Linked DNA regions of Saccharomyces cerevisiae S288C. The protein of the gene in region 1 interacts with the protein of each later gene in a biochemical or structural test. Each region holds a gene or a part of one and is shown on either strand. Other genes may lie near its edges.

The links. The genes of interacting proteins can lie anywhere in the genome.
Region 2: of the proteins of CDC27 (region 1) and CDC28, one has a biochemical effect on the other in vitro, tested with the Saccharomyces cerevisiae proteins (4 studies listed by BioGRID).
Region 3: of the proteins of CDC27 (region 1) and PPH21, one has a biochemical effect on the other in vitro, tested with the Saccharomyces cerevisiae proteins (one study listed by BioGRID).

Annotation. Positions count from the first base shown.
Region 1 is NC_001134.8:66,510-71,274, forward strand, and holds CDC27 (anaphase promoting complex subunit CDC27), read right to left. Parts: upstream 2,937-4,765; coding exon 660-2,936; downstream 1-659. Other genes in the region: BOI1 (Boi1p), read left to right, coding at 1-309; ALG3 (dolichyl-P-Man:Man(5)GlcNAc(2)-PP-dolichol alpha-1,3-mannosyltransferase), read right to left, coding at 3,242-4,618. UniProt on the Saccharomyces cerevisiae protein: Component of the anaphase promoting complex/cyclosome (APC/C), a cell cycle-regulated E3 ubiquitin-protein ligase complex that controls progression through mitosis and the G1 phase of the cell cycle.
Region 2 is NC_001134.8:558,246-561,474, reverse strand, and holds CDC28 (cyclin-dependent serine/threonine-protein kinase CDC28), read right to left. Parts: upstream 1,398-3,229; coding exon 501-1,397; downstream 1-500. Other genes in the region: IFA38 (ketoreductase), read right to left, coding at 1,747-2,790. UniProt on the Saccharomyces cerevisiae protein: Cyclin-dependent kinase that acts as a master regulator of the mitotic and meiotic cell cycles. Required to drive the G1-S transition. More than 200 substrates have been identified. Substrate specificity is in part regulated by the bound cyclin protein.
Region 3 is NC_001136.10:219,162-222,691, forward strand, and holds PPH21 (phosphoprotein phosphatase 2A catalytic subunit PPH21), read right to left. Parts: upstream 1,611-3,530; coding exon 501-1,610; downstream 1-500. Other genes in the region: RDI1 (Rdi1p), read right to left, coding at 1-127; 60S ribosomal protein eL41 RPL41B, read right to left, coding at 2,563-2,640; SRF1 (phospholipase D regulator), read left to right, coding at 3,266-3,530. UniProt on the Saccharomyces cerevisiae protein: Exact function not known, phosphatase 2A performs an essential cellular function.

The DNA.
Region 1 (4,765 bases):
AATAAATCTGAAATGAAGGCATGGCTGTCAGCCATAATAAAGGCCACTATTGATATTGATACAAGCGTCCCTGTCATTAGTTCATATGCCACACCAACGATACCTCTAAGCAAGGCACAGACGCTATTGGAAGAAGCTAGGTTACAAACCCAGTTAAGAGATGCTGAAGAGGAAGAGGGAAGAGATCAATTTGGATGGGATGACACCCAAAATAAAAGAAATTCTAATTATCCAATCGAACAAGATCAATTTGAGACCAGCGATTACCTGGAAAGTTCAGCATTTGAATACCCTGGTGGCAGACTTTGAGAACTGCAATCATTAGTTACTTCTTGACCAACTTAAACACCTTAATAATTAATATTTAATAGAACATAATATAGTGATATAAAGTATATAAAAATAAAAAGTTTACGAATTAATACAATCAAATTAGACACTGATACTATCAAGAAGTACATCGCAGGAACCGCAGACATGATGTCCTCTTCTTTCAAATTACTGGATATATATATTATTATTATTGTTACCATTAACGTTATTATTATTAACTATTACTATTACATTAACTTAAAAATAAATATGAAACAACGAAGAACAAAAAGAATTATGAAAACATTTAACATGTTTCAATTTGTTATGTTTTGGCCAACCTGCGTTTATTCTTGCATATGACATTTTTGTAATTCATCGATGATAACTTGGTTACCCTTTGGATCCAAATTCATAGCAACAGTTAGCTCCTTGATTGCATCTTTTTTCCTCCCAACTATTCTATATGTTTGACCCAGCAAATAATGGGCTGTGGCATCATCAGGAACGAGTTTCACCAATTCTTCAAAAGTTTGCAAAGCAACATTATATCTTGTCATGGAATAGAGCAACTGGCCCATCTTATATTTGGATAGCGAGGAAGTCGGTTGCAAATGACATGCTAGTTCATAATATTGTAGAGCCTTTTCCTTATAGCCCAGCTTTTCTAAAGAACCACCGCAACAACAGATTAACACAACATTGACGGGATTAATTGACCTTGCCTTTTCAAAATATAACAACGCTTCTTCATATTGACCTAATTTCATAGCGCTCGTACCCAATCCGTAATATGCATTGTAATGCTGAGGATCACAAGCTAGCGCCTTTCTATAGCATGTCTTGGCAGAATCCGAAGAATCGTTGGAAGAATGTTCATGACCTTGCAAAGTATACGCGTATGCAAAATTTGGGTCTAACTGAGTAGCTTTTTCGAAGGCTTTTATTGCGGCATCATGATCCTTTTGCAATGATAGCAAATTACCTATACAACACCATGTTTCGGGCTTATTAGGCATTGTATCCATTAGCCCATTTGCCAAATTTGAAGATTTAACCTTGTCATGCAAATGCCACAGCAAAGTAGAAAAAATTTCCATATCTTTTACCCTTGCCGGTTGTAGGTCTTTCAATCTATTGAAATACTTTAAGGACATATCATAATTAATGATCTCAAAATGAAGTTTTCCTAATTGCACTAGACACCATGGCATTGTGTCTTTAATATGAGATGGGATTTGAGACTCGAACAGTCTTATTGCCTTGAACGAATTGTATTGTGATGACGACCTTAATATTAAAGCGAAATTATACATGATTTCAGGCAGCGTAATTGAATAATCACTCGTTAGTATTGAGTTACTGATTATTAAAGACCTTGGATTTTTCTTGGAAGTTGTTAACCTTCCTGTTGAGGAATATAGGTTTCTTGGAGTTTTGAAAGTTGTTTTATTTATAATGTTATTATTATTATTATTATTATTATTATTATTATTATTATTATTATTATTATTATTATTATTATTGTTATTTTGGTGGTTCCTATCGTTATTTAACAGTTTCGATGGAGGAGTCGTTAAAAGTTTGTTTCTGTTATAAACTTTGGCCAACGAGCTTATTGTAGGCTGTTTGGAGGATGGAGACACTAAGTTCATGGAAATGTTATTTGGTAGCGCAGAAGACGTCTTACTGTTGATTGCAGGGTTTTTAGGAGTTTGAGTATTTTTGTTCTGGCAGGTCCTTATTGATGTGTTCGCTTGTTGCTGCTGTGACCTTGAGAAATGCTGAATGGAAGAAAAAGAAGATGCCGATGTAGAAGGGGGAGAATTAGACGACTGAAACAGTGTATTAACATTATTATTGATATTATTATTGCCGTTTTTGTTTGTTTTTGAATATAAGCTAGGTTGTGAACGAGGTTCGAAATGCGATAGTGATGTAGACGGAAACGATGAAGCTGCATTATTATTATGACTATTACTTTTTTTCCCTGCAATGTCGAAAAAAACCCTCTTGAGATCCACGGTAGCTCTCATTTTACAAATCGCTTCGTAAGATTCCCAAAGGTAAGGATTAATGGCTAATGCTTCAGAATGATAAAATGCTCCCTCCTTAGAATGGTCCAGTTTCATATAAAGATTGCCTAACAGGCAATTCAAAGTGGCCAAATCGGGAATATGGACGAGATTAGAATTCAACACCATATTTATGCGCGTATTACTGCTGTTCGAAGAAAATACATTTATTATTGAGAGAAGAGTGAGGATAGCTTCGTTAACTCCCTGCGAAAGCTGTAAAGCACAACGCCCGAATATGTAAGCGATACCAAGATGATACTCCTTGAATTCTTTGGATATCTGGAACGCAGTGTGGTAGCTTTTATTCAGAAACAGCGAAAGTGCATATAAATATACCGCATCGGACCAGTAAACACTTGATTTATCGAGAATGGAGCATTCAGCATAGAGCAGTTCGGCCAAAAACTCTGCGGTACTGTAGTTCAACTGCTGAATAGCCTGCTGAATGCAGTCCTGAAGCTGTATGATGGTGCTCAAAGCTTGATCATCAAAGCTGGGGATTCCTCTCGAGAGGGTGAACGGTGCTAACTCAGGATTTACCGCCATGCTATTTTTATTATGTATCCTGCACGAAAAGTTCGTGTCGATTTATGAATAGATATGCAGTCACCAAAACAGAGTCTAAAACTCTCACAGCTAGGTATGGTTTTTTGATAAACTTTTCTGTGGCACCTTTGCTTGCACTTTGATCCTTTTGGTTTACTTTCAGCCTGTTCCATCCTTTTGATCAAAAAAAAAAAGGAAAATCAAGCGCGGGTAATAACGGCACCATTAAATACTAGTAGTACTATATAGATGGTATAAAGAAATGATTTAAAACAATACGATTATATGATATTTATACATCTGTTTCAGTTGAGCTTTTTTTCCATAGAGCTGGTGGTACGAAGATGGCTTTTGGCGAGGGCGACCGAACCAGATAGCTGCGTCAAGGCCAATAGAAGCAACAGAACAGTATTCAATGCCAACAATAGCGTGCTTGCTTGTGAGTTTGGTGGATAGGAATTCCAGCACCACTCGTGCAAGACGTACCAAATGGGACCAACGAAGAAGGGCATTCCCGACCAAAAGATCAGTATAGGCAAAGTCCAGTGATACCAGGATAGAAACTGGTAGTGGAGGGACCTTGAAAATAGGACGCCGATGAAGTTGGATGCGATTAGAACGAATGGAATAGTCTTGGCGGGATTGGCATTGAGCACTGCATTTTTCCTCAGCGGATGGCACAGGGAAGACCATAAATCGGGCAGGATGCGAGGGTATCTTGTGACGAACAGTGTGGTGAGCGCTATCAGGTGGCTGATTAAAAGGGCCAAGTGGAACCTCTTATCATTGAAAGCCTCTTCATCCATCATTTGCCAATTGATACTCCATTGGTACATAAACTTCCTGCCGAAATTAAAAGCGCAATGCAGGTACTGTTGCGGAAAGCTGCGCAGGAAGGGCACTGCAACTGCGACTTGCCATGCAATCATCGCAACGAGATCCAACAAAGTAAGGATTACGTTCGCGTCATTAAGGATGAATAGAGAAATCATCATTGCAGGGAAATACAACAGCGCATTCATCTTAATGCTCACAGCCATACTGTATGTTGCGGAGATCACCAGCGCAAGGGACTTCTTTAATTTGGGGCGCTGATGGCACCTGCTGGCCACGATAGCCCCCAAAACCGTGACGACCATAAACAAAGTAGTGAAGCAATCATTGAATAACCGTAGCACGTAAATAGAGTGCAATCTTTTAGAGAGGCACGCCAAGACCACACACCACGGTGGTAGATGTAAAAGGTAGTAACACGCCATTTGTAACGCCAGTGTAAGGAGATACAAGTATCTGAAAAACACTTGCCCGCGCTCAACGTGGTCCATTCCCTCTGTTAGCCAGTACATCATCTTGTAGATCAAGACGTGGCCTGCTGGATACACCAGCGGGCCCGTTCCACCACTCACCTGAGAGTAGTCCAGCATGCCATCGAGCTGAATCATCTCGATCTGCTCCATGTACGCCTTGTAATCGATCTCTGTGTAAGCTACCTTCTTAATGATAATCTTGCACAGCATGCTTTCGAACAAAATCAAAAGGGGCATAACGATAAGATTGGCCCTACAATCGAAGATCACGTAGCGCACACCGTCCTTGAGATCCTGCCACAGATCCAGCGGAGGTCTGACAAATTGCTTCCTTTGCAGAGACTTTTCACCTTGCGGAGACTGTTCACCTTCCATACTACTAGTATCTAACTCTTTCTCTCTCCCATACACACTCTATGATACTGTTTTCACTCCCAACTAGTGTACTGCGTTGTTCTTTAAGTTCGATAGCGAAATTTCTTTAGCTTGTTTACAGCACCCAGCAACCGCACACAGAATGTG
Region 2 (3,229 bases), 490 kb from region 1:
AACAATACCCGTCTCGGTTATTCAACGGTGACAATGAAACTCTTCAAAATTCAAAGAGCAATGAATTTGCGGAGGTCAAAAACAAGAACAGAGAAAAAAACCAAGGGCGAGTCAGATGCGAAACGGCTTTAAACAAGCGAACTCCTTATAGTCAAAGAAGTTCAATTGAGGCCCCAGCATACAATGCGTTATTTCGTTTTGTTTTTCGTTTGTCTTTTTCCTCTTCGCTTTTTTTTTTTTTTTTTTTTTTTTCATTTTCTTTGATAATACGACCTCGGTAAATACGTCATGGAACACGCCCAGCTTTTAACCCCTGAAAAGCTCTCACTTTTACTTTCGCGTATAACTGAATGTTCCGTATATGACGATGAATATATTTTCTGATGGAGTTACCCATCATAATGTTGAAACTGAGTATATTGTATTCACTATATACTTTACTAGGCTATAATGACAGTGCAGTAGCATTTGTAATATAATAGCGAAATAGATTATAATGCTTATGATTCTTGGAAGTAGGGGTGGATGGCTGCTCTTCTGGCGCTAATCCGGTTAATAGGGTCATACGCGAGGAGTTTGTCCAACAAATCAATACCGCGTGGATCTAGACTTGGTACCACTTGTGATAGGTCTTTTCTGCGCCATTGAGGAAAGCTTGGCTTGAAATCAGGCAAGTAGACAATATCTGGCCATATAGCTTCATTCGGCGTTCCCAATACTCTGAATATCTTGAAAATCTGATCGATCTCACTATCGCCACTGAAGATTGGTTTCCTGTTACACATTTCGGCAAATATACAGCCGATGGACCATGTATCGACACCTGTACTATATTGTTTTCCACCCAGTAATACCTCCGGAGCTCTATACCATAGAGTAACAATTTCATGTGTGTAAGCTCTCAACGGAACACCAAAAGCACGCGCTAAGCCAAAATCACCTAGTTTTAGATTCCCATCTTTGTTAATCAATAAGTTCTGCGGTTTTAAATCACGATGCAGAATACGGTGTGAGTGGCAGTATGCAATACCCTTACAAAGTTGCATCATAAACTTCTTAACAATATCAGCTCCTAACGGTTGGTCCTTTGGAATACCCTCCATATATCTTTTCAGGTCCAAATCGAGGAACTCAAAAACAAGATATAGCTTGTGTGCATCAGAGTGAACAATATCGTATAATCTGACAATATTATCGTCTTTTAATTCCTTCAATAATGAGATTTCTCTGATGGCTGTACTGGGAACACCCTCGTCTTCACTCTCTAGTCTTATTTTCTTCAATGCGACTACTCTTTGACCTTGGCCAGGTCTTAAGTCTAACGCTTTATAAACAACACCGTATGTACCTTCACCGACTTTCTCAAGTCTTTTGTAATTTGCTAATTCACCGCTCATGTTCGAAGGATAGTTCTATTTGATCTGGGCTATTTTCCACTGTAGCTGATGTGCTGGCTTGAATATTTTTTCCAATATGATATTCTGGAAAAGCAGTATTAAATTTTCTTTCAAGAGGACTTGGTCCTTCCACCAATTTTTTTTTTTGAGTTCTTGTTGTTTTCCAAATTTTTCTCTTTTTTTCTCATTTAGGTTCGTTTTTATTTTTGGCGTTTGTTGCCCTAATAAGGCCATATATGTATATATTGGTACATAAGCAAGTATAATACATAAGCCATGCTTTTCTTGTAAATATATATATATATATATATATATGTATTGTATAAAAACTATCTCGAGAACGATAATTCTATTCCTTTTTAACCTGTCTTGCGGCTTTTTTTAAGGCTCTAATTCTGATAGATTTATGGAAGGAATAATTAATGGAGTTAACAATCTTAGAGTAAACGCCAAAGGTCTCTGTAATTACAAATTGATACACTGCGTGCGCCCAGTAAGGGGTCATAGTAGCGTATCTTTCTTGAGAGCCGCAGCGTCTGCCAACGCTTCTTAAAGTGGATTTTACAAACTGTTGTGGATTTGGGATCATTAAAGATGATCTTCTGATTTTAGACATCGAGCTAGTGACCAAATATGAAATGATTAATTCAACATCGATAGCATCTTTAGATAATTCCCCAGCCAAAGAGTTAGACCAACCTTGTAAGAATGATTTCGAACCACTGTATGTAGCCAAAAGTGGGGTGGGAATCAGACCACCAAATGAGCCCATGGTTAAGATCAAACCACGAGTACCCGACTTCTTGTTTTCAGCTTTCACAGTTTCCACAATCTTTGGTGCAATGATTTGTGTAATTAATAATGTAGCAGTGTTATTGATAGTGATAATATTTCTAAGCTCCTTCTCTTCTGTTTCCAAAAATGGAACAGGAATGGAGTGTGATTGACCAACATTATTGACCAAAACGGTGATTGGTAACTGCGCACACAATTCCTTAATGGATTCATAGTTGGATTCTTTATCCTCCGCAATGTCAATGGCTAGAATCTTTACAACGACATGATGTTGATCTTCTAGTTCTTTTTGTAAAGCCTCCAATTTAGATTGCGTTCTCGAGATCAATACCAAGTTGAAGCCACGTTTCGCCATTTGTCTAGCAAATTCTTTACCAATACCGTCACTTGCACCAGTGATAGCACAGTATTTACCAGTTTTAGCACCATACTTGTCGAAATTGACTGCTGGTAGTAAAAAAAGATCAAAAATAAGAGCTAAAAATCTAAGTGATAACGTTGTACATTTTAAGACACCAAGCCCAAAAACAACCCATAAAAGACCATTGATACACCTAAATCTTTCCCCAGCCTCTTGAAGCTGTTGCATAAAAGTCATTTCTTAAGCTGCACCGACACGAATTGATTGCTTTGAAGACTGTTCTTCTATCTGTGTTTCCTTCAGTCTCTTTTGAAGTTGCATTTCTGCAACGCTTTTATTCGTGAAATCTCTAAAAAAGCGAAAAATAAAAAGGCCTCCCGCGGACTTAAAACAGAACATCCGAAACATTACAAAAGGCCCCTACAATTATCTCTATAAAGGACTTCCAAATCCGAGACATTGATTCGTCTTAACACTATGAGTGTATCTTTTGGAGAATTCTGTAGTTCAATAGTTTTCTGTGAAGGAATTCTGGTTTCTTCGGCCCTTCTGGAATTTCAAGTAAAAAGTACAGAATAGTAAAATGCTAGTTAAAAATCTATGTATTCATTAAATTTAGTGCTGCTAAAAAGTTACAATTATAATAATATTATCAGTTAAGAAGTGTGTAGAATTA
Region 3 (3,530 bases), on another chromosome or scaffold:
TCGCCAAGGATTCGTCTTCAGCATCCAGATTTTTGTATTCGTCAACAGTTTTTTTGGCTGAAACTTTATACTGATCGTTGTTTCTCTCCTCTTCGAATTGACTAAAGTCGGTACTTTCTTCGGCCATTATTCAGTTTTTCTCTAATAAAAAAGCTCAATACTCGAGTTATTCGTGTGGCTAGAAAAAGAATCAAAGTAATACAAGCAGCCTGAAGAATGGAAGTTCTTTCCACTCAATCTTTATAACGTTTCCCTGATCTATCGCGAAATTTAAACGATCGCGTTAGAGAACCGTTTCACCCGGAGTAATGATCAGAATGATTAAAGCGTTGGGGAGGAAAAAAAGCCTCGTATTGATTGATATATCTGAAGAATAATAAAAGAAGAAAATTTGCAAGGCAATTTGCAGTTTATTTTTGGCTAAATGTGTAATTAACTATGATAATGGTAAAGGAGAAAAGTGAATATATATCTATATAGATGCATATATGTATACATACTCATAAAAAGTAATCTGGCGTCTTTCTGCTGACGCTAGGTTCACCTGGTCTTACGGATGGGTCGTACTGTAAGAATTGTCTATTATGATTCTCGTCCACTTCCATGATAGCTGCTTGATTACCACATCTGTAGCAGTAATTAGGAGCACTGAAAATGGTGACAACATTTTGCTGGTGAGACCAAGCATAGCCTTCCATTACCAATTGGTGAGCTCTTGCTATTAGTGATAGATCATTAGTGTGATTGAATTGCTCACTGACATCTTGTCCAAAAGTGAAGCCTGCACCTCTGGGACTGATTCCCCATCCGCCTCTATCGTCAGGGTCTGACCATAGAAGGTCACACATAGGACCTTCATGAGGCACTTCCTGTATTCTGTTCAACTCTCTCACCTGATCTATGGTTTCTATCATGGGGGAAAGTCCTCCATGCAGACAGAAAATTTTATTATCTACTAATGCGGTTATAGGAAAATAATCGAAAAGATCTGTGAACATTTTCCACACGTTTGCACTGCCGTACTTTCTCAAACATTCATCATAAAACCCGTATACTTGGGTAATCTGCCTAGACTCGTGATTGCCTCTCAGTATCGTAATTCTATGTGGGTATCTGACTTTCATGGCAACTAGGTAAGATACAGTTTCAACAGAATAATATCCTCTATCCACGTAATCACCCATGAAAAGGTAATTGGTGTCAGGACAAGGGCCACCAATCTTAAAAAGTTCTAACAAGTCATGGAATTGACCGTGTACGTCACCACAAATGGTAACAGGCACGTTAATTGGTTTAACATTCTCCTCGAACTGCAACACGTCCACCGCCATTTTACATAGTCGTGCTACATCGTCTTCTGATAGTGGCTCGCATTTACTCAAATGCTCAATCCATTGGTCAAGCTGATTTATATTTGTGTTATTCAGTTCTAGTGGTTTGGAAGATTTGTGATCTGCTATGCCCGAGGAACCAGGTTTTAAATCATCAACCGAGAATTCTTCTGCATTATTATCCGATGAATTGTTGTTGAGATCCATATCTTCAGATACTGTGGGAGTCAGCTGTTCGGTAACAGCATCTTGCATAGGCACATCTAAATCTGTATCCATTTTTCTTTTTGTTTATTGTTTTATGCGATAATTTATATCCCTCTTTCCACTATGAACTAAATAGGGGCAAAATAATTTGTTTTTTTCTTTCTCTTTTGCCTTATTTCAAAAAACACAACCGGTAAAATTAACAGTTTAAAATTAGATAATAACTCTATTCAACCTGAACTCACTAAACTCTTACTAAATTACTGGTAAGGAAAGAAAACTAGGGGAAGACGAGTGAAAAAAGAGCAGTCCAACAGGTGTATTTCTAAGAAGAATAAAACACTTTTTGTAAATATCGTGTCCACTGGGGCAATTTAATTTACACTAAAACTAATTGGAGTATGTGTATATCAAAATCAATGAAAGTGCAGCGTCTGATTCACTAATTACCTCCTTTACTGTGAAACGGTGCGTCGAAAGGAACCTGTAACAAAAACCTGCTAAAAAGAATGCCGAACTAATGTAATCCGGAAAACTATTTCTACTACTATGTGTTAGTCGATTAAAATAGCCGAAAATCTTTCAAGCACGACAGAAAGATTCATTATCATTCTCCATTTCACAGGTATTCCATTTTCCGTTCATTTTTTCACTTTTTGATTTTATCCTTAAAACCCGCCCGGTTCATCACTTTGCACGCCACAGAAACCTCAGAATAAGCTAAAGGGTAATATAATAAAGCCCTTCGATTCAATAATAGCATTACCCAAGAGGCATAGCGGCAAACTAAGTTGACAACACAAAATCAAATCGCTTCATTTTTATTTTATTAATGATATTTTATTAGAGAGGAAATTATGTAATATCTAGATATTAAATATAAAGTAGATCTCTGTCTAAAATATTCTTAACAAAATCTTATATTCGAAAGGATGACGGTCCAATCAAAGGATTGTATAAGAGAAATTAGTTTTCGAAATCAATTTTTACTTGACCTGAACTTAACGATTTGCTCTCAATCCGCTTATTTGGATCTGGCTCTCACCTTCCGTCTCTTTCTCTTAAGTCTTCTAGTTCTCTTCTTTCTCCACTTAGCTCTCATTTGGAATTAAGTCGATATGACTATCTTAGGATTGAAGTAAAATATAAGATGAAAACAGAAAACAAGCGAAATTTCAAAGAGAGAAGTGAAACAATAATGACGGATAACAATTATTTAACATTCAGAAATATTACATTCGTTAACTCTCCATATATATAAATCACCCCAGCAGAGGAAGATGGGATTTCTGCCAGCAATGATGACGGGTAAATGGATAGCATCGCAGCTGCGACACCTTTTCCATGGTGCGACACGCGTCGTACAATGACCTAAAAATCCTAAAATAAAATAAGATGAATCTAATAAGGAAAGGTACTGGTGAAATGAGATAAGGGTGTACGGGTGTGGTAACCGTCGTGAAATAAAGAAAGCATTCTGAACGATGAATACTAAATAAGGGAAAGTGGAAATAAACGAAGTGTCGAAAGAGGAGAAGAGGTCTTGGCTTTCATATAGTGGAAGAAATTCTAAGCTACAACACAAAGTCTCCAACCACCTTTTGTTTAGTCAATTATAAAAATACTTTGATTGCTATTTCGAAACCGTGAGATTGCTGAGAAGGGAAAGTGAATGATATTTTTTTGCATTTTTTGAGGCGTTCTTTTTTTTTACACTGACAAATTTAATGGGGGATTCTAATTCCAGCCAAGAAGCGTATTCTGATACAACATCCACGAACGCTTCTAGAATCGCAGATCAAAATCAACTTAATTTAAACGTGGATCTTGAAAAAAATCAAACAGTAAGGAAGTCAGGTTCACTGGAAGCATTACAGAATGCAAAGATACATGTTCCCAAACACAGTGATGGTTCACCACTAGACTATCCAAAATTAAATACTTACACGTTTGTGCCTACCACAGTGCCGCCTTATGTTTTAGAGGCGCAGT